Linked DNA regions of Elephas maximus indicus. The protein of the gene in region 1 purifies or fractionates together with the protein of each later gene. This does not show direct contact. Links are inferred from orthologs where the notes say so. Each region holds a gene or a part of one and is shown in the gene's direction. Other genes may lie near its edges.

Region 1 (10,656 bases):
TGTTTCAGTGCTTCAGCTGCCTGTTCTTGAGCTGTCACTCAGTCCTTTGGGATGAAGGCCGGCTTAAGGTGACAAGGCTTCATCTCATCTTCACTGTCTGAGTACTCTTTATACTCAGACTCCGATTCTGACTCCTCCTCAGAATGTCCCTCATCCTCCACTCCCATGACTTCCATCTCTTCATTTTATCTCTCCTGTGCTCGCTGGCCCATCATCCCATGGTGCTGTTTCGTTTCCTCATCAGCATCCTCCTCTTCTTCACTGCTATCTTCTCGTTCCAATGTCAAGCCAATCTCTCTTCCACATCTTCACTAATAGGGTTCTGCAAACACCGCAGATGGGGATAACTAGATGAATCCTCCCTCTGTTCCTCAGGCTCTGCTTCTTGATCATTGGCTTTCTTAATGAGCTGAAATTCTTCATCTTCCTCACCTTAGGACCCCATAGGGACACAGTCTGGCCTCTTGGCCGACATACCGCATTTCACCTTCACTTATTCCATTGAGATCTCAACCTTTCTCATTGCGAACCGGAACAGCACCAGCCATAGACTGAAGAGACGATTGTTTCACGAGTGCACTTGGGACCAACATGTCGATGGCAGTGGCAGTGACTCCTTAAGGCCTGACTGACTCCAAACAGTGAACGCCAACAGCTCAACGAACAGAAAAAAATTCCTTTCCCACCTAGGTCCACAGGAGGCAACTGCACAACTAACGGAAACACCTGAACTAGACAAACCAGAAATACGTGAGAAGAGGACTGTGGGATTTGGAGGACGTCTGGGCACTCACGCCTAGAAAGTGGAGGCTGTAACTAAGCATGTTACTAGGCTGCCTTTGTGCCCTCAGCCTTGTGGGATTTGGAAGCCGCTTCTGGCAGGAAATTGCTTCCTTCGGGCTTTGCTGTTAAGGACTTGAGGGACAAAAAGCTCCCACATACATTTAGTAGCCCTTGGGTTTACTGGGAAGAAGGTTTTCCACTGACAGTGCAGCCGTCAAGAGGGGACTTGAAACAGAAGAAACGGGCATGTGCCACAAATTAGTTTTTACAGGGTGTTGTGTGAGGTGGTACATCCTGGATGGTACAGACATACGTGTCCCACCAATCCTACACCAGACTCCACAGGGACATGCTCAATGATTCAGCATGCATTCCATTAATGAAAAGAATTTTATCAATGAAAAATTTAAAGTGAAAAATAATTTGGTTATGAAAGGGTTAAAGCCTTGTGGGAGGGAAGTCCTAATTAACGATTTCATTTGTTACTTTGGTTTGAAGCCAACAGAATGGTACAGTGATGAATGAGAAACTGAGGAGATAATGAGGGTCTTCTTGTCCATCAGGAGCCCTGGTGATGCTGTTAAAGCACCCTGCCACTAACCGAAAAGTGTGCCGCACCTTCCGGAGAAAGACGTGACAGCTGGCTTCCTTAAAGCTCCAGCCTTAGAAATCCTATAGGGCAGTTCTACCCTGTCCTATAGGGTCACGATGAGTTGGGAAACCAAACAAAAACAAAACCCAAATCCATTGGCTTTGAGTTAGCAATGGGTTTGGTTTTTCATTTTGGTTTGTCCATATTGTCTCTTTCTCTTGAAGCTGCAGTATTCACATTTTCTACCGCCGTACCCTTTGGAGGTATTTTATAATACTGCATTAGTTCACTGATGGCAATTAGTATTTCATTTATTACCCTTATTTTATATTGTTTATGTCTCAAGAGGTGGCCTCCATCTCTACTAGACTAGCATTCATATCTTTTTATTTTATTGTTGTAAGTATATAATACACGCTTGCCAACTAGATGTTTTTCACGTGTACAATTTAGTGACATCAATTACATTAATCATGCTGTGCAACCATCACCAATATCCATTGCCAAATTTCTATCACCATAAACAGAAACTCAATGCTTCCTAAACAAAGTTGATCTGCTTTTATTTTTACAATTTTTTTTATACATTTCCATCATATTCACTCTTGGCCTTCATTTGTTTCAGACTGAAGAATGCTATTTTACCTGTGGTCAGTTAATTTAGTGCTCAACACACATTTGTTGAATGCTAGGTGCTCTTGGGATACAAAAGAACAAATTATTCTACAATTCAGTAGAAGAAAAGTACCAAAATATAGTGCTGTAAGAGTTTAGAGGTGGGGAAGAGAGGAATTAACATTTATGACCACTCGGCCATATACTACGTTCTTCATGTACATCATCTTAAAGAGCTTGATATTATTCTCCTGAAAGTGACTATACTCATTTTACTGATGAGTTTAGTAACTTTCTCAGAGTCATACAATACTTAAATAGCAGAGCCAGAATTTGAACCTGGTCTGATTCCAAAATAGATGCCCCATCCTTCCACCATGGGACCTCCTCCAAAATTGAGATTAATAGTCCTGGCCTAGAGAGATGGAGAAGGCCTTCTGGAGGAGACATGATTTGAGCTCAGTGTAAGCTGGGGGCGGGGTGGAACATAAGCTGTTTCAGGGAAACAGTAGTAGGGAAGTACAAAGATAACGTAAGGCAAGTAATTCAAGAGATCTTCGTAAAGTTCATGTCGTTAGTTGCTGTCGAGCAGACTCATGTAACGAAGGTAGCCAAATGCCTCATCATCTAATTAGTGATGTGCATGAATGGATGAAAGAGATTCCCACTGTCCCTACCTACTATCCAGCAAAACCACAGCCAAGGGAACAGGCTTGGCGGAATCAGCAGGGAAAGAAGATGCTGCTGAGTTTGACCCTAGTCTGGCACCGTGAAGAGACATGGGAGGTATAAAATAAGTGGGGCTTATTATATAATGAGTGGGATATAGCATTCTTCAGTGCCGACTCATGGAAACCCCATGTGTGCAGAGGAGAGTTTTCAAGGCTGTGACCCTTGGGAAACAGAATGCTAGGCCTGTCTTCTAAGGTACCTCAGGGTGGGTTTGAACTGTTTGTGCCACCCAGGAGCTCCTAAAATTAGTGTTAAGCCCCCCAAATGTAGAATGAGGCCTATTCCTGGAAGGTCTTAAATGCTGAGTTGTAAAAAAAGCTGGTCTTTATTTTTTAGCTATGTAAACTGTTTGAGCAGAAAGAGTAATATGCACAGAGATGCACTTTGGGAAAAGGAATCTTGTCGGTGGTATGATTGACAGCTGTACTGTCCGGTACAGTAGCCACTGGCCACATGCAGCTATTTAAATTTAACTTAATTAAGCTAAAATAAAAAATCAGTTCCTTAGTTGCACTAGCCACATTTCAAGGGCTCAACAGCCACATGTGGCCAGTGGCTACCTTACCGAACAGCACAAATGTAAAACATTTCCATCATCATAGAAAGTTCTATTGGACAGTGCTAGCGACAAGAGACTGGTTAGAAACAATCGATATTAGAATAGTCTAGGGCAGAGGTATTTGAATTATAAGCTTTGGTGGCCACAGTGAGGATGGTGAGGAGTGGCAAGTGGAAAGCTATCTTTGATGCTGGCTTTAAAGGACTCATCAAATGGCTGCCTAAAGGAAGGCACATGATTTCCTTATTTATTTGTTTTAGCAGTCTTCTCTGGAATTTTCCAGCTCCATTATTTCCCTCTCGATTTCATAGAACCCCTAATGGCTTGTTTTCATGCTTTAGCAGGACCCTTCCTGACAAGGTGTGTGACGAGAAGCTCCTACTGATAAGTGCCAGATGCACTTTAGTGTGGAAAAGGTGATGAATTTCAGAAAAGATCATCAAAACTACACTGATGGGATGATGACCTTGCAGCTAAGACACAAAAGGGACAGTGTCTGTTTCCAGCTCTTGACAGTGTCAGTCTGATGGGGCTACTGCACTCAGTGTAATCAACACCATGCTAACCTTTACCCATAACCTTGAAGATAAATGTCCACTTTGAAGACAACTCCTTGATGCTTCCTTCCATCAGAGCAAATATTTAAGTTTGGTAGACAATGTGTTTGAACCACGTAAGTTTTCGTTTTCTTACTCTACAAATGTAACATAATTTTGAGTACCTGGATTACTCGATGGCACCGGGTTTGCTTTTTTGGTTTGGATTACTACAAGGGAGACATTAATTTAATCTCTGTACCCCATACCTGATCCCCAGACAAGTAGCATCAGCATTGCCTAGGAACTTATTAGAACTGCAAATTCTCAGGCCCCACCTAAACAACAACAACAAAAAACCAAAACAGTTGCCATTGAGTCGATTCCAACTCATCGCGCCCCTACAGGACAGAGTAGAACTGCCCCACAGGATTTCCAAGGAGCAGCTGGTAGATTCGAACTGCTGACCTTTTGGTTAGCAGCGGTAGCTCTTACACCACCAGGCCCTACCTAGACATACTGAATTAGAAACTCTGGGGGCAGGCCTAACACTCTGCTTTAAGAATCCCTCCAGGTGATTCCGATACACAGTAAAGTATGAGGACCACTGTAAATGTAGCCAACTTCTTTAGTCTTCCAGTGTTAAGTTTGGGGGCATTGTCAAAACACATGCATTTTGACTCAGCTCCTTCACCTTCCATACTTGCCCCATCCATCCATCCATCCATCCATCCATCCATTTATTCATTTACATAATCTATGTTCAGACTATTTAAAAAATTAAGAATAAAAAGTTTAAATACAGTGCGACTTTCTGACCATTGACCCAATAGAATTGAAATCTTGAAACTTAAGTTTAGTTGCCAGAATATCTTTCCCCACTATTGTCATCTTTCATATATTCTCTAAAATTATGTGAAGGCAAAATTCACTTCCAAAATTTCAAAATAAGCATTTGTTAAAACAGCCCTTTGCCAGTTACTACCTAGGTTTTAATGGGAAATGAATTTCAGATATAGAAAAGGCATCTTTTTAGCACTCTTCAATAACTGTCTAGTGACAGAGATATAAAAATGACTTAGACAAAGATGCAGCCCTCAAGGAGCTTAACCATCAGACACTACCTGCAGCTATCTGTACTGCAATGTAGTTAAGGGCAAAACCAGTGGAGTGTGGAGGAGAGACACTTATTATTGGGGTGGGATGTTGTAGAAACGTCACAGGATCCTGGAGGATAAACAGAATTTGACAGGAAGAGAAAGGGACAGGTGAGGGAGGAGGCTCAGGCAGAAGGAACAAAATGAACAAAAGCTGTAAGTTTTGGGCAGTCAAGCCTCAGGAGGAGATGGATGCGGTGGCGGCTGAGACTGGGGCAGTGGGCCACTTCGAGGGTTTCTGATAATCCCGGCAAGCGACTTTGAAAGGAGGCAGCTTGCAAAAATGCACACGCTGTCTGTTGTTATAGCCATTCCACGCGGCCTTTCAAAGCACAGACAAGACCTCTGAGCTCCCAGGGGATCCCCATTCATTCATCCCTCAAATATTGACTGAGCGCCCGCTATGTGCCTAGCCCTGCTGGGGACAGGAGCAGCCCCCTGCCTGCGACTTCGATGTGTAATGAAAGGCCGGTCCCTCGCACCCAGGCTCCCACGCCGGGGACCCGCCGCGGCCTCACCGCTCTCCACCTACAGCCCCTGGCTCCTGGGCGACTCCCGCAGCGGCTCACCTGGTTCCCGGGCGAAGGCGGGAATGACGACGGTGGGGTCGGACGCGGCTCTGGCCCGGCTGGCAGCGCTGGGACGCGAATGCGGGCGCAGACGCCGGCGGTTCCCGAGCCGTTGCGCCCGAGCTTGCGGGCGTTCGGAGCGGGCAGGGGGCATAGGCAGCAGGGGTAGGGGAGCGGGGACCGGGATAGCTGGGCCGCGCGTCCGGAGCCCAAGGGAACTCCTTACCTGTGCCATCCAGGCCCCCACTGGCTTCGAGGTTTTACACTTTTGATTGCAGGCCTACTTGGTGCCAGGGCTCGTGATCTGCACTGCGCATCAATTCACAAGTCTTCCGGTTACCGGTTAGGTCAGAAGAGAGACGTAAGGAAACCTCTCGAAGGGAGATAGCCAAGATTTCCCTAAATCAGAACCGCCTGGCATCTATGCTAAAAATGCAGTGCCCATCTCGGACTTATCTAATTAGACTGCAGCGCGCCCTGGGAAGCTGTGTTTTAAAACAAACTCCCAGGTTGATTCTTCTGTACATAAAAGTTTGAGAATTACTAGGAGAGCTTGGCTGGAAAAAATCTCACTTTAGGGCTAATATTTGCTTTTGTGACAGACTTCGTCAGAATCCCTAAGAAGAAGCCGTATGTCCCTGAGCAGATGGGAAGGCAGCGGCTTTCTGGCTGGAACCTTTTTCTTTTTATATGCAAGTTATTTCTTGGAAATTGAGAATTTCCCTGAGCAGGTGTTTGGCTGCCGGTGCCTATACTGAGTTCAAAGATCTTGGGCCCTTTTCCCGATGCCCCATTTGTCATCGTCGCTTTCTAGCACCAGAGCCAGGCGTTGCCCCAGCCCACCACGGTGGGGCGCACGAGGCATGTGTTGCCCGCTAGTCTCTTCCTTGGCGAGTCTGCCTACGCGCCCTTAAGGACATCAGTCCTTGGAAGTTCCTGCTTCTGGCCTCCAGCTGTTGCTCTCTTGTCGCGAGAACTGCTCCTCCTCCCGTACTCTCACATCACGAAACCCCTCCCGCGAGCAGGTTCCATATTGGGTGACTCTCGGCTCGCGGAGAGTCCCGGGACCTGTTCTCGCGAGAGTACAGAGGGAGGCTCCTGCTCACTGGCTCTGGATCCGCGACCGCTGGAGTCTCCGTGGGCGCTGCAGCTGGAGTCCGGCGACGCAGCCCAGAGACGGCCTGGTCTGGGCGAGTGTGCAGGGGGGTCGCGGCGGGCGCAGCCCCGAGCCGGGTAGCGCGCCCCTGTCCTGAGCCGGGGTCGTCCCCGTCACTAAGGCGCATCTAGGTGCTGCAGCTGACAGGGGCCGCGCGCGCGCGCGGGAGTCCGAGGGGCCGCGGCAGCCGCACCTGCGCCGGCGACCAGCGCAGGGTCCCGGCCCTGCCCGGCAGGGAGCGAGAGTCCGGGAGCGGGTGCAGGCGCAGGCAGGGGCCCCGCAGGGCCACCTCCTCACCCTGCGGCCGCCGCTGGAAGATGTCTCAGGAGAGGCCCACGTTCTACCGGCAGGAGCTGAACAAGACAATCTGGGAGGTGCCTGAGCGCTATCAGAACCTGTCCCCGGTGGGCTCCGGTGCCTATGGCTCGGTATGGTGAGTGTCGCAGGGCCTGAGGCTAAGGTGGACGGGGTGGCCCCTCACGCCCAAGGGCCAGGCCTGCCCCCACGGCTCAGCGATGCGCCAAGTGGCAGGAATTTTTCTCGAGGAACGGCATCGCTGCCCCTTCGAGCTCTGTCTTGCACCCCTGGCACCCCCATCTGCACAGCAACTAGGTGGTCAGCCGTGTGCAGGACGCAGTTCCATGCTGGGCTGGGTGGGGGTGGGGGTGGGGGTGCTGGAATTCGGCCCTGGCTCGCGCCCTGCGCGAGGGACAGGGAAGGCTTCTCAGAAGGCTGCTGCTCCGGGGACAGGGACGAGGGTGCCTTCTGCTTGCGGGGGGAGGGGGTGTCCCTGCTGGCGTCGAACAGAAGGGCCCCCTCCGGGGGTGCGCCCACCCTGGGGCGCTGGAGCTGGCCCTCTGTGCGGACAAGCCCAGGAGCTGCCGGGAGAAGGCAGAGCCCAACTGGGAGACTGTGATCATCTGAACAACGAGGAAGGGCGCTCTCCCCGGGCTTTTTTTGCAAAGCTGCGTTGAAATTCCGTTTTGAGAAGGGTTCCTTTTGAATTAGCAGCGACCTATAGAGCTTAAAATACTGACTTTATCTCGGTGAACACCGTGCCAGTTTGAGTGGTGTGTTTCCGATTCGGTTGAAAGCGTATTTCCTTTTCGCGGGGGGGTGGGGGAGGTGGTGGCGGTGGCGGTGGCGGCGATAGTGCCTGCGAGAACCCTGCTGTTTAAGAAACCGGTCGTCTCACTGATTAGTCACATTCCTCTGCTCATTTAAGTATTGTTTGACAAAACAATTTTCTCATTTGGAGCAAAGGATATTCAGGACCGTTGGACGCTCTCAAGATCAAAAAGTTAACCGTGCTGGGAAGGACTGTAAATAGTTTTAAATTGCGACAGTTCCTACAAATACTGTGTTTTTAAAGCCCCTTATAGAGATTTTGCAGGAAACTTATCTGCATTTGTGACCTGAGGTACACGACAGTTTTCATAGCATGTAGCAAAAGAAGGAAGAGACGCCTTTTTACACCGCAAGTGTTTTAAATTAAACGGGTACAATAAAGTTTCCGGACTTGAAATGTTTCACTAACTTCTCTCTTGTTTCCAAAGTTTTATGTACTGTATTTTAGATGTACTGTAATCTGGGCGCCCCGATCTGAAACTAAATATCAGACTTAATTATTAACTGTTTCTGGGTTTTAGTAATTTCGTGTACATGCATCATTTGAAAAGGGGTCTGTAAAATAAGTTTTTGCTTAGGAATATATTCCAGTTTTTTGAATGTGTTAATCTTTAAGTGTAATTCCTGTGTTCCTTAAAGTCACATCATGAATTTCCTGTTTGGTAGACTTTTCGGGTAATTAAGATTGTGCAATTGTGCCCTGCAACAGATCATATTGCATTTTCTAGTTAAAGCTGCTTGCGTTATGTCGCAGATGGCACCATGCTTGACATCTTTCTCTCATTTTAAAGGAATTTGCAGCTTTTTACATTCACTATATATATTTCTTGATTTACAACTTTTCAAAGATGTATTTGAGTCATTGCAGCTTTTACAGTTCATTAATTTACCTTCATTTTTGAATTGACATATTTATTTTTGCAATATCAGGTTTTTGTTTCCAGTGTTTCCGTTTAAACTTTAATGGAGTGATACAGCAAAATAACTCAGCTACAGGGAATTTAGGTGAACTTGAAAAAATTTGCTCGCAGGGTTTCCCTGTAAGTATGAATAGCTCAGCACTAGACCACACATCAGATTTCTAATAAAGTGTCGCTAAAATGAACTTCATATTTCTTTAGTACTCTTCTGGCTTATAGAAGCCAGCAGTATCTGACATTTGGAAGTAATTTTGTTGAATAGATTTTTAAAAATAGGTAATACATTCATATTTTATAAAATTCAAAATATATAAAAGAGTATTCAGTGAAAAGTCTCCCTCCCTTTCTTTTTTGTTCCCCAGCTGCCCTCTTCCCTTCTGCGGAAACAACCACTGTTAAGTTTCTTGTGTGTCTTTTCAGGAAGGCAGAGGTTTTTTTTCTTTGTCTTTTTTTAAAGTAGCATTTCTAGTAAATATTTCTAGGCGGATTTAAGATACAGATGGAATCCCTCGGTGGTAAAAATGGGTAATGTACTTGGCTGCTAACTGAAAAGCTGGAAGTTCGAGTCTACTCAGAGGTGCGTTGGAAGAAAGGCCGGGTGACCTACGTAGGAGAAAGTCAGCCATTTAAACCCTGTGGAGTACAGTTCTACTCTGACGTGCGTGGGATTGCCGTGTGTCGGAGTCTACTGGAAGGTGTGTGTGTGAGAGAGAGAAGATGCAACCTATAGAGTTTTGGTGGAAGAAAATACAAGTGAAATTGCATAAAAATTGACTATAAAACAAGTATCACTGCTTGTGTAATGAAAATACCAGAACTTAGATTTGCAAATAAGTATCATCTCAGAGTAGCTATTTGAAGTTGTTCTTTCAATTATCAACTTTTCAGGTGTGACCCGAAAAAATAATCCATTGCTGTTGAGTCAATTCCGACTCGTAGAGACCCTATAGGACAGAGCAGAACTGCCCTATAGAGTTTCCAAGGAGCATCTGGTGGATTTGAACTGCTGACCCTTTGGTCAGCAGCCATAGCACTTAACCACTGTGCTACCAAGATTTCCTCAGGTGGGACAGAAAATGTGTTTCTTAGAACTTACTTTGGTGCTTGTGTAACTTTTTTCATCTTCATTCTTTGAGAGCAGATTTGACTAGAGAATAGCTAAAAGTGAAATTGAATCCAAACGATTCATAAATTTAGATCCAGGTCTGGTGAAAAGGATTAGGAAAGTCAGGTTGGTGATTTTAGGTCAAAAAGGAATCACAATGATAAAGTAATGACAATTTCTAGTGTGGCTTGTAGGACTGAACCTGAAGTCTTATTCCCAAAAAGAATCTCTACAAGTATTTAAAGGAATGCAGCATCATTGAAAAATGTATTCAGTTTCCTAATTTGATTACTCTGAAGAAGTGTGTTCACTTTGATGTGTAAATTTTTTCCTCTTTTAAGTGTGTTTTCATTATTTTCATTTGTAGAATGTAATGCAAATAGCAGCCTGTGTGGTAGCCGAAAATGAATCAAAGATTAAGGAATCAGGCTTCAAAAACTTGATAGGGTTTGACAAATTGTCTTTCCTTGTTAAAGATGAAAGGGAACTAAACTAAGCTTTGCAGTTTTAAGGAACTTTGTGCATTGTCTGTGAGGGGAAATGAAGCAAAATTGTTTAAGAATACGTTGTTGCAAAGCATTGATTTTGTGGTTTTGGGACTGAAGGGGAGAATCTTTGTGGTGAGTTTAAGGAAATATAAACAGGAACTTAAATGCCTTTCCTCTGGGGTACGGTTTTTCCAGTCCCTTGCTGTTGATTAAGGGAGGTGGGGGCACTGGTAACCGTAAAACAGTGTGATGAGGATTGAGAACTACTCTGAGATCATATCTGATTGTTTATTCAACAGTATTTATTGAGCACCAA
Region 2 (10,910 bases), on another chromosome or scaffold:
ACCCCATAGAGTTCCCAAAGAGCACCTGGTAGATTCAAACTACCTACCTTTTGGTTAGCAGCTGTAGCTCTTAACCACTATGCCACCAGGGTTTCCACCCCAACAGAGTGAGACAATAAATAAACAAAATAACAGAATGGGGCAAGTGCTGCGAAGGAAATAATTAGGATGATGTGAAAATTCCCTGTGGGGTAAATTCTGAAAGTATGTCCATACCAATGCAAACTTTCCCCCCTCCTTTGGGTGAAGTACAGAAGCTATTTAACTATAATTACATGAGAGACACTGGAGGCTGTGGGGGCGGCGGGAGCTTGTCTCACATTTTACACCTGTCTGTCTGCTAACCGAAAGGTCAGCAGTCCCAATCCACTAGCCGCTCCTTGGAAACCCTATGGGGCAATTCTACTCTGTCCTATAAGGTCACTGATTTGGAATCGACTTGACGGCAACAGGTTTGGTTTGGTTTTGGTCATTTTACACCTTTTGTATTTTCTTAACATGTGTGTCACTTTTATGATGATTATTTTAATGGCAACCAAGTGTGGCTGGGTAAAGGGATTATGGGTCATGTTTTGCTTTCTTCTCCATTCTTTCCTGATCTTTTTTGTTTTTCTTTTTCTTAATATTTTATTTTGTTTTCAGTGAAGGTTTACCCTGCGGTTTAGGTTCCCATTCAACAATTTCTACACAAGTTGTTCAGTGACATTGATTACATTCTTCACAAGGCTTGAACATTCTCATTATTTCCTTTCTGATTGTCCTGTTTCCATTAATCTAGTGTCCCTGCCCCCGTACCTTCTCATCTGTGTTTCATAGTAATTGTTGGCCATTGATCTCATATAGGTGAATTTTTAATGAAGCACAGTACTTATGGGTGATATTATTTTTTAAGCCTGGTTTTTAATTTTCTTTTAAACAAATACAAAAACAGGAGCTATAATTATCGCTGTTTCTGGAGAGGCTGGAAAGGGTCTAGCCACCAGAAATCAGGGCAATTTAAAACGCCCACACCAGAACTGCTTGAGGGCTGGCAATTTTTATAAGAACTGTGAACATTTGGGGTTTTCATCTCTATGATAATCCTCCCCGCTCCCCACCAAAAAAAAAAAAAAAAATTTTTTTTAAGTCTCTTAACGCATTGCCCTCCAGTTCATTCTGACTCAGCGACCCCACAGGACAGACTAGAACTGCCCCATTGGGTTTCCAAGGAACGCTTGGTGGATTCTAACTGCCGACCTCTTGGTTAGCAGCCAAATGCTTAACCACTGCGTCACCAGGGCTCCTTTTAATCTCTTACCCGTTAGAAAACCCAAAGGACTCATTTCTGCAAGGCAGCCTTTCAGCGAAGCTGGTTTGGGGGGGATCCGTGAAGAGGTACTGCCCTGCTCCCACACTCCGCGGAACGCACCCCCCTTTCTCCCTCCACCCTGTGCCTCTGCCCCGCCCACTCAGAGCCTGCTGGGCAACAAGGCGCGTCCCCACGTTGCCATGGAGACCGCCCAGCTGCGGAGGCGTGGAAGCTACCGGAGCCAAAGGCCTGGGGGCCCGGGCCCCCGCGGAGCTGAGCGAGGAGGAGAAAACCCAGTGAAACTTCATGACCCGGTACAGCCGGCTGGGCAAAAAAGCAAAAACAACCCGAACGAGCCAATGATTGTGCAAAGGCTTCGATGAGACCTTAACCGCCTCCCACCCCAAGCTTCTTTGTTTCTTCCCTCCCTCCCTCACTTCCCTCTTTCTCTCAAATTCTTTCTTTCCTTCCTCCCTTCCTTCCCTCCCTACCCTCTTCCTCCGTTCTTCTTTTCCTTTCTTTCCCCTCCTTTCCTTCCTCCCTGCATTCCTTCCTTCCTTCCTTCCTTCTCTCATCTAGCAATTTTTTAATTGCGCACCTACTACGTACCCCTGGTAGCCCAGTGGTTAAGAGCTCAGCTGCTAGTCAAAACGTCATTAGTTTGACTCCACCAGCCGTTCCTTGGAAACCCTATGGCAACGAATTTTGGGTTTTTTTTTTTTTTTTACTACATACACATCCGCTATGAGTCGGAATCAACTCGAGGGCACTGGGTTTGGGGTTTTTTTGTTTGTTTGTTTTGGTACTATATACCCAGAGCTCCTGGGTGGTGCAAGGAGTTCAGCACTTGGCTGCTAACTGAAGTGTCAGAGGCTCCAATCCACGCAGAGACACCTCAGAAGAAAGGCCTGGCAATGTACTCTTGAAAAATCAGCCATTGGGAAGCCTATGGAGCACAGTTCTACTCTGACGCACACGGGGTCTCCAGGAATCAACTCAGTGGTAGCTGGGTTGCTACAGGCCAAGCCCTGTTCTAGGTACTGGAGATACATACAGTAGAGAACAAATGAGTTTGCATTCTAGCGTGTGGTGGGAGAGAGTCAGACACAAAAGTAAAGCAAAAATAAAGAAAATCATTTCTGACTGTGTTGTGCTAGGAAATAAAGTAGGAGAATAGGATGTAGGAGGGGGTCTTCACTTGGAGTGCCTGGACCTCTTGGGTCTGTGAATCTGAATGGGAAAAATAAAATCACGGCTTTATATTCACAGACCTTTGAGACAGACCATTGCCTTCCATTATGAACATAAGCAACGAGCCCCAGTAGGGTTAGAAGAGCCTGCAACTTTGTCACTGCTGGAAATCACAGCTGTCTTCGTGTGGCTCTTTTAGTTGCTGCGAAACCTCGAAGCACTTCCTCAAAACCTAGACTTGCTGCTAAATCTTTATGTGATGTGGTAATAACAAGCACCATTTCATGAATTTGTTATTTCTTGAATATTTTCATAACTGTAGGGAACAGTCTGTGCTTCAATGGGTCCGTGGCACTGAGAAGGTTAAGAATTCCTGGGATGGGAGGGTCACTCCTGTAAAATGGGAAGGATTCAGAAGGGCCTCTCAGAGAGGTGACCTTTGAGCAGAGGCCTGAATAAGGAGAGAGAGGTTGACAAGAGAAGGTCAGGGGACAGCAAGTACCAAGGCCCTGCAGCAGGAACAGACTGGTTGGGCTGGAATGGAGTGAGAGAGGGGAAGAGGGGAGGAGAGGAGGACAGAGAAGGAAGGAGTGTGAGGGATTTGTAGGGCTTTGTGGGCCATGGTGAGGACTTGGGTTCTATTCTGAGTGAAATGGAGGATTTTAAAAAGATAGAGACAGTGCCGAGTTATTTTTTGAAAGATCCCTCCAGCTGCAGACAAATGGAGAAAATATTGAAGTTGGCAAGGATTTCATTTTACCCGGCTCCACAATCAATGCCTATGGAAACAGCAGTCAAGAAATCAAACCACGTATTGCTCTAAGGTGCACCTGACCCACCAAAAAACCAAACCCACTGCCATCGAGTCGATTCTGACTCATAACAACCCCATAGGTTTTCCAAGGCTGTAAATCTCTATGGAAGCAGACTGCCACATCTTTCTCCCTTGGAACCTCTGGTGGTTTGAAACTGCTGGCCTTTCACTTAGCAGTTGATCACTTTAACCACTATGCCACCAAGGTGCCTGACCTAAGCCACGGTATTTTCAGTCACTTCATACGCATGCGAAAGCTGGGCAATGCATAAGGAAGACCAAAGAATTGACACCTTCCAATTACGGTGTTGATGAAGAATATTGAATATACCATGGACTGCCAGAATAGGAAACCCTGGTGGCGTAGTGCTTAAGAGCTACAGCTGCTAACCAAAGGGTCGGCAGTTCGAATCCACCAGGCGCTCCTTGGAAACTCTATGGGGCAGTTCTACCCTGTCCTATAGGGTCGCTATGAGTCGGAATTGACTCCATGGCACTGGGTCTGGCCAGAAGAATTAACCATGAGGTTGGCAGTTCCAATCCACCAGGAGCTCCTTGGAAATCCTACGGGGGAGTTCTACTCTGTCCTATAGGGTCACTGTGAGTCGGATTCGACTTAGCGGCAATGGGTTGGGTTGGTTGGTTGCCAGAAGAATGAACAAACCTGTCTCGGAAGAAGTACAGCCAGAATGCTTCTTAGAAGCAAGGATGGCAAGACTTCATCTCACGTACTTTGGACATGTTATCAGGAGGCACGAGTCCCTGGAGAGGAACATCATGCTTGGTAGAGGGTCAGTGAAAAAGACAAAGACCCTCGAGGGGACAGATTGATGCAGTGGCTACAACAACGGGCTCAAACATAGCAACAATTGTGAGGATGGTGCAGGACTGGGCAGTGTTTCATTCTGTTGTACGTAGGGTCGCTATGATTCGGAACGACTCCATGGCACCTAACAACAACCAGCTGCTGGAGAGTCCCTGAGTGGCGCAAACAGTTAAACACTCAACTACTAGCCAAAAAAGTTGGCGGTTTGAAACCACCCTGTCACCCCTCAGGGGACAGGCTGGGTGATCTTCCGAAAGGTCACAGCCTTGAAAACCCTATGGAGCAGTTAGTTCTATCCTGCACACATGGCGTAGCCATGAGTTGAAATCAACTAGTTGGCGACTAGCAACAACAACACTGCTGAATTGAGGGTGGATTGTAGGCAGCAAGGAGAAAGCTGGGAGGCAGTGAGGAGGCACTTGCAGGGATTCAACAAGAAAAAAGGGTAGCTAACATGCTTTTTTTTTTTTAACATGCGGTGACTCTTGGGTTAAACCACCCAGCACTTTAATTGGGGAGGAGGGATTCAGCTATGTCCTGACTCCTGACCCCTGTTTTCTATAGAGCCTGCCTGGGTCTATTACTCAAGTACCTAAGATCTGGTTCAAATATCAGGCCCTCCAGTTAGTTTCCCCATCAACCAGAAGATGCTAGTGAGGGCACCCACCTTGCTGTGTAGCTCTAAGGATTCACAATAGGTCCATTCAGCCCATTCATGATGCCTGGACCCAGGGAAATGCTCAATGCCAATGCAAGTTAACTGTTATTATCTTCCTAATGATGTTGTTGGGCTTTTGTTGCTGAGCCGGTAGCCTTTTTCTGACCCTAAGCCCCAGGGATCCTGACCCACTATGTCTGTGGTGAAGCCTGAGAACCTTCACTTTTATCTCATTTCTTTTAGTTAATATTCTTGGTTGCCAAAAATCCAAGCAATCCTAAAGGGTGTCGAGTGAAGGGTACATGCCTCTCCCACCTCAGGGGCTCCCAGGCCCTCTCCCCGGTAACAGCCACTTTAGGCTGTGCTCCCTGGTGGTGCAGTGGTTAAGTGCTACGGCTGCTAACTAAAAGGTCTGCAGTTCAAATTCACCAGCCCCTCGTTCGAAACCCTATGGGGGCAGTTCTACTGTCTTATAGGGTCCCTATGAGTCAGAATCGACTTGATGGCAATGGGTTTGGTTTTTTAGTTTTATACCTGTGACTAGCACAAGTGCATGTCTCGACTATTTGTTCTACACACACAGAGTCAGACTGTTTTGGGTTCAAATCTAGCCTCAGTCACTTCCTGTTTGTGTAACCTCAAAAAGGTGATTTTACTTCTTTGGGCCTCAGTTTCCTTAGCTGTAAAATGGGAATGATAATTGTATTACCTGTCTCGTTGTTACAGTGAGGATCTAATGAATTAATTCACAGAAAGCACTTAAAGTGGGATCTAAAAAACCAAACCAAACCCACTGCCATCGAGTCGATTCCGACTCACAGTGACCCTATAGGACAGAGTAGAACTGCCTCATAGGGTTTCCCAGGCTGTAAACCTTTATGCAAGCAGACTGCCACATCTTTCTCCCACAAAATGGTGCCTAGTATATAGTAAAGTAAAACTTGTAAAAGCTGGCACCTGGGTAAGGTGGAAACCTGTCAGAGAAGGAAAACCAGAGATAAAAAAAAAAACAAAACAGAAAAACAAGGCAGTCTCGTCAAGTTTCAGCTCTCATAGGTTTCACTGTATATAGTATGTAGGTCTCAAACACAGCAATGATTGTGAGGATGGAGTAGAACCTGGCACGGTTTCATTCCGTTATATATAAAGTCTATATGAGTCGGAACCAACTCAAAGGCACCTAACAACAATAGTATATAGGAAAAATGGTCCCTGGGTGGCACAAATGGTTTGTGCTGGACTGTTAACCTAAAGGTTGGTGGTTCAAACCCACCCAGAGGCAAGACAAGCCTGGAGGTCTGCTTCCAAAAGGCCACAGCCTTGAAAATCCTATGGAGCACAGTTCTACTCTGCACACATGGGTTTGCCATGAGTCAGAACCGACTCAATGATAACCAGCAATACCACCACCACCCATCTGTCAGTGGAGACTTGCATGTCGCTATGATGCTGATCAGGTTTAAGCATTCAGACTACAACGGACTAGGAAGAAAGGCCGGTCCATCTTCTTCTGAAAATCAGCCAACGAAAACCCTGCGGACCACAGCAGTCTGATCTGCAGTCCATCACGGGGATGGTGCAGACCAGGGAGCATTTCATTTGTGAATGAGGTCGCCACGAATCTGGCCCATTCTAGGGCAGCTAAACGACAACCACCAGTTTTTTTACCCACATGCATGAATGGGTATGGGGTAGGAATTGCTGGTACCACGAGTCGCGTGCATTTAAAATGTTAATACATAGCGTCAGTGACCTTCAAAAGGGCTGTCCCATTAGCACACCCACCTAGGGGGCTGAGGGTGGGGGACTTGGCCAGAACGGGTATATCTACGATGGCAGGTTTGGGAACTGGCTGCCATTCGGGAAAGGTGCTGACGTGGGCCTCCGCGCTCTTTTCACTTGGAGGCGGGTGGCCCCAACTAGGCCTGGGGCGCGGCCACACCCCTGTGGGGGAGGGGAGAGAGGCCTCCTTAAAGGGAGTGGACAGCCCCCCTGTCAGTCTTCCCGAGTCGGGGAGTGTAAACTGAGAAGGGAGAAGGTGGGCCTCACCCCGGGGAGCGCGAGGAGGAACTTCCTGCCTGTGCGCTCCACCGCACTGGGCGCGCGCCGCGTCAAGGTCAGTCTTGGAGGGGTGGCAGCCTGCCTGGGGGCGGGAGACCCTCCGGGGGGGCCGGGCCGCAGTCTCCCAGCGCCTCGGCCATATTGAATAGCCCCGGCTGAGCCGTCTTTGTCTGGGAAGCGGTCTCGCAAGTTCCAGCCGCCCCTTTGGTGCCTGGGGCAAGACGAACCACCGTGCACTCCAACTTGGAGCAGCTTTCCAGCTTTGCGCGGGCTTGAAGCCTCGGGACAGATTCCTCGCCAGCTCACGTAAGCGTCGTGGGACTTCATTTCCACCAGCCTTTTTTGGGGGGAGCAGACTTGGCCAAGGCCGGCCTGGTGGCAGACAAAGTGGGAGGAGGTGGCTCGTCCCTGGCTGGGGAGGTGAGACCTTCCGGGCAGCATTGTTGGGACTCCCCACCTAAGGCTACAGACTGCGTGACGTTGGGGTCCTTAGCCCCACATTCCGGATTTCACCCTGGAGATCTTAAAGACCCTCGAGAAAAGCCACGTGGGGGGCTGGTTCCCCTGGGGCTTCCTGCCGTCGCCGGACTGCCTAATCCTATGGAGCGTCCCCGACGTCTGCAAGGATGTGGACTTGGATGTCCTCGTGGAAGCCTTGAAGCCCGTGGGGACCTTTAAGAAGATCGGCAAGGTATTCCGCAGGGAGGAAGACTCTACGGTGGGGATGCTGCAGATTGGGGAGGATGTCGACTATCTGCTCATCCCCCGGGAGGTCCGGCTGGCGGGCGGTGTCTGGAGGGTCATCTCCAAGCCCGCCACCAAGGAGGCGGAATTTCGTGAGCGGCTGACCCAGTTCCTGGAGGAAGAGGGCCGCACCCTGGAGGATGTGGCCCGCATCATCGAGAAGAGCACCCCGCACCCGCCCCAGCCCCTCAAAAAGCCCAAGGAGCCCCGAGTGCGGAGGAGAATTCAGCAGATGGTGACGCCTCCGCCCCGTCTGGTCGTTGGCACGTATGACAGCAGCAACGCCAGTGACAGCGAATTCAGCGACTTTGAGACCTCCAGGGACAAGGGCGGCCACGGCTCGGGCCGGGCCCGGAGGGTTCGAAAAATGCCGGTCAGTTACCTGGGCAGCAAGTTCCTGGGAAGCGACCAGGAGAGCGGGGACGACGAGGAGCTGGTGGAGGCCTTCCTGCGGCGCGGGGAGAAGAAACCTAGCGCGGCCCCTGCCCGCCGCCGGGTGGCGCTGCCCGTGCCAGTGGCCGAGGACGACCCGCCCCAGCTCTCCAAGGCCGACAGGTGGCGCGAGTATGCCAGCCAGGTGTCCTGGGGGAAGCTGAAGCGCAGAGTGAAGAGCTGGGCGCCCAGGTCTTTGCCGGGCGTGGGCGATACCCAGCAGCCCGTGTCCAGGATGGAGAGTGACAGGGCGTCAGGGCCAGGCTGCGCCAGCCGGGGGGAGAACGCGGGAAACACAGGAGATGGGCGGCAAGCCGGGACCCTCCCACGACGGTGGCGGCCCAAGATCAGCTGGGGTTCGTTGAGGCGACGCCGGAGGGAGGAGGTAGCATCCATAGCTCAGGGGGCAGAGGTGCTGGGTGACCAGAGGATAGAGGTCCCAGTTGACCGGAGAGCAGAGGTCCCAGCTGACCAGGTGGCAGAGGCCATAGCTGACCAGAGGGTAGAGATCCCAGTTGGCCAGGGGGCAGAGGTCCCAGGTGACCAGGGGGCAGAGGTCCCAGGTGACCAGGGGGCAGAGGTCCCAGGTGACCAGGGGGCAGGGGTCCTGGGTGACCAGAGGGCAGAGGTTGAAGCTGACCAGGTGGCAGAGGCTGCAGCTGACCAGAGGGCAGAGGTCGCACCTGACCAGAGGGCAGAGGCCGCAGCTGACCAGGTGGCAGAGGTTGCAGCTGACCAGGTTGCAGAGGCTGCAGCTGACCAGGCGGCGGAGGCCCCAGATATCCAGGGGGCCCCAGGGGCAACCCCAGGAGCCAGAGCCCGGAAACAGGTCAAGACAGTGAGGTTCCAGACCCCTGGACGTTTTTCATGGTTTCGCAAGTCACGGAGAGCCTTCTGGCACACACCCAGGCTGCCAACCCTCCCCAAGAGAGTCCCCAGGGCAGGCGAGGCCAGGAGCCTCAGAATGCTGAGGGCCGAGGGCAGAGCAGAAGCGGAGCAGGGAGATCAAGAAGACCAGCTGTGAGGGCGAGGGCGGGGGCCCTGTGGAGCACCCCTTGCCACATTCTGCATTATCAGCCACTTGGGCATGTCCTTACCCCTCCCAGACCTGGACTGAGATGGTTTCACTCTCTGCTTCTGCACCTGAAAATCCAAGGGACAGAGAGAGAGGGGGCGAGACAACGCCTCCATATTTCCACCTGACAACCTTCTTCCTTTTTCTGTTAAAATTTTCTCTCTCGTGTATTAATTTTTTTATACCCACTCCTTATAGCAACTCAAGGAATGTAATGAGAAAAATCGATACAGCGGGGTTGCAGCCAGGTACTTTTAATTCCCTAGGTGCTCATTTTAAAAAGGGGAGCGAGACGGGGCAAAATTCATGGCTTCTCCCCTTTCGCTGGGTGATTGACATTTGCTGTCTCTTTGAACTTCAAAAGAGGGCTCAAGCTGACCTGCAAGTGAAAACATTAAAAAAAAAAAAACTTAGATTTTGGCTTTGGACTTGACAACTGAAGAATGCTCGAGGGCTATTTGGTCATGTGCCCTCACTGTCCCCCCCACTCCCATCCTCAATGGTAATGACCATGGTTACTTTGGTCCCCTGGGCTCTGCTGGTTTGAAGGGTGCAGGGCCCATGGTTTATGCCCTTCAACCTGTCCTTGGCTGTGAGGTTGGGGGCCATAAGTGTGCATACAAATCACCTGGGGAATGTGTTCAAAATGCACATTCCTGAACCCTTCACACCACAGATATGAATTTGCTAGTGTGGCCCAGGAATCTATTTTGATCCAGCTCTTATGGGCTTTACCCAGGGCAGCTCGCACACTTGCCATTCACTGGCCGTGTGGAAGAGACATTGCCATAAGAACAGGCCCAAAATTGGGGCATGGGGTGGCATGCTGACGTTGATAATGGGGGTATGATGTCATGTGCTATGACTGATACTTACCATCAGGGAGAAATTGGGGAGGTGAGGCCCCGTGAGGCTGGGAGGGATCTCTGTATGACCTTATGCCCACCCTGCTCAACCAGCGAAAAAGAGCAAATGGCCACAAAAGAGCCTCACTGGGGAAAAGAAGGTGGAGGAGGGAAGCAGAAGGCCAGCTCTGCCCTCCTGATTGTGGCTGCAGGCCTTGCCTGGATTTTTTTTCCCCCTTGATACCTAAAAGAATTATATCCCTTTCTTTATTTCCAGGAGACCCTGGGTGGCGCAAAGGGTTAAACACTCGACTACTAACCAAAATGTTGGCGATTCAAACCCACCCAGAGGTGCCTCGGAAGACAGGCCTGGGAGTCTGCTTCCGCAAAATCAGCCACTGAATGCCCTGGCACACATAGGGTTGCCAGGAGTTGGAGTCAATTCAACGGCAACTGTTTGGTTGGGTTTTTTCCCCCTTTTTCTTTTTCCCTGTCTGTTTTCTAAAAAGAAATGGCTACTGATGATGTGGCTCACTGCCTGACATGGTGTGTTGCTGTCTAGAGCTGCTTTGTGCTTGGTGGTGGACCCTGGGCCTGTGTGGCCCACAGCTGGCAACCAGGCAGCAAAAGAGGCCAGTGGGCTTTGCAAGAAGGGGCGAGGCATGGGCCCCACCTAGAGAGGTGGACTGAGCGGAGGCATGGGGTGGGGAGGACGCAGGTGCAGCCAAGCCAGGTGGGGAGATAGCTCTGAAGCCACTGAGGAGGTTAGGAAGGGGGAGGCTGTCCTTCTCCGTGCCCACCTTGGAAAACGGTGGAACCAAGGGGGCCTGGTCTCTGCAGACCTGGAAGGTGAGAGGAGATGGGAGCAGCAGAGACCACGGGAGAGACTGAGAGATGGGAGAAGAGGCAGGGCTTGATGAGGAATGATACTGTGCCTTTTTTGTTCAATAAAGTCTGCTAGAAGCCAGCTGACTGA

What was found. The genes of interacting proteins can lie anywhere in the genome.
Region 2: the proteins of MAPK14 (region 1) and CCDC8 purify together in Homo sapiens (affinity purification with mass spectrometry; 3 studies listed by BioGRID and IntAct, counting the BioPlex papers as one, with this or other methods). This does not show direct contact. The link is inferred for Elephas maximus indicus from reciprocal best matches to the Homo sapiens genes MAPK14 and CCDC8.

What each region holds. Positions count from the first base shown.
Region 1 is NC_064819.1:99,702,225-99,712,880, forward strand, and holds the start of MAPK14 (mitogen-activated protein kinase 14), read left to right. Parts: upstream 1-6,597; 5' UTR 6,598-7,016; coding exon 7,017-7,132; intron 7,133-10,656. Other genes in the region: SLC26A8 (testis anion transporter 1), read right to left, coding at 5,544-5,778. UniProt on the Homo sapiens protein: Serine/threonine kinase which acts as an essential component of the MAP kinase signal transduction pathway.
Region 2 is NC_064829.1:103,273,389-103,284,298, forward strand, and holds the start of CCDC8 (coiled-coil domain-containing protein 8), read left to right. Parts: upstream 1-6,854; 5' UTR 6,855-7,562; coding exon 7,563-9,038; 3' UTR 9,039-10,910. UniProt on the Homo sapiens protein: Core component of the 3M complex, a complex required to regulate microtubule dynamics and genome integrity. It is unclear how the 3M complex regulates microtubules, it could act by controlling the level of a microtubule stabilizer.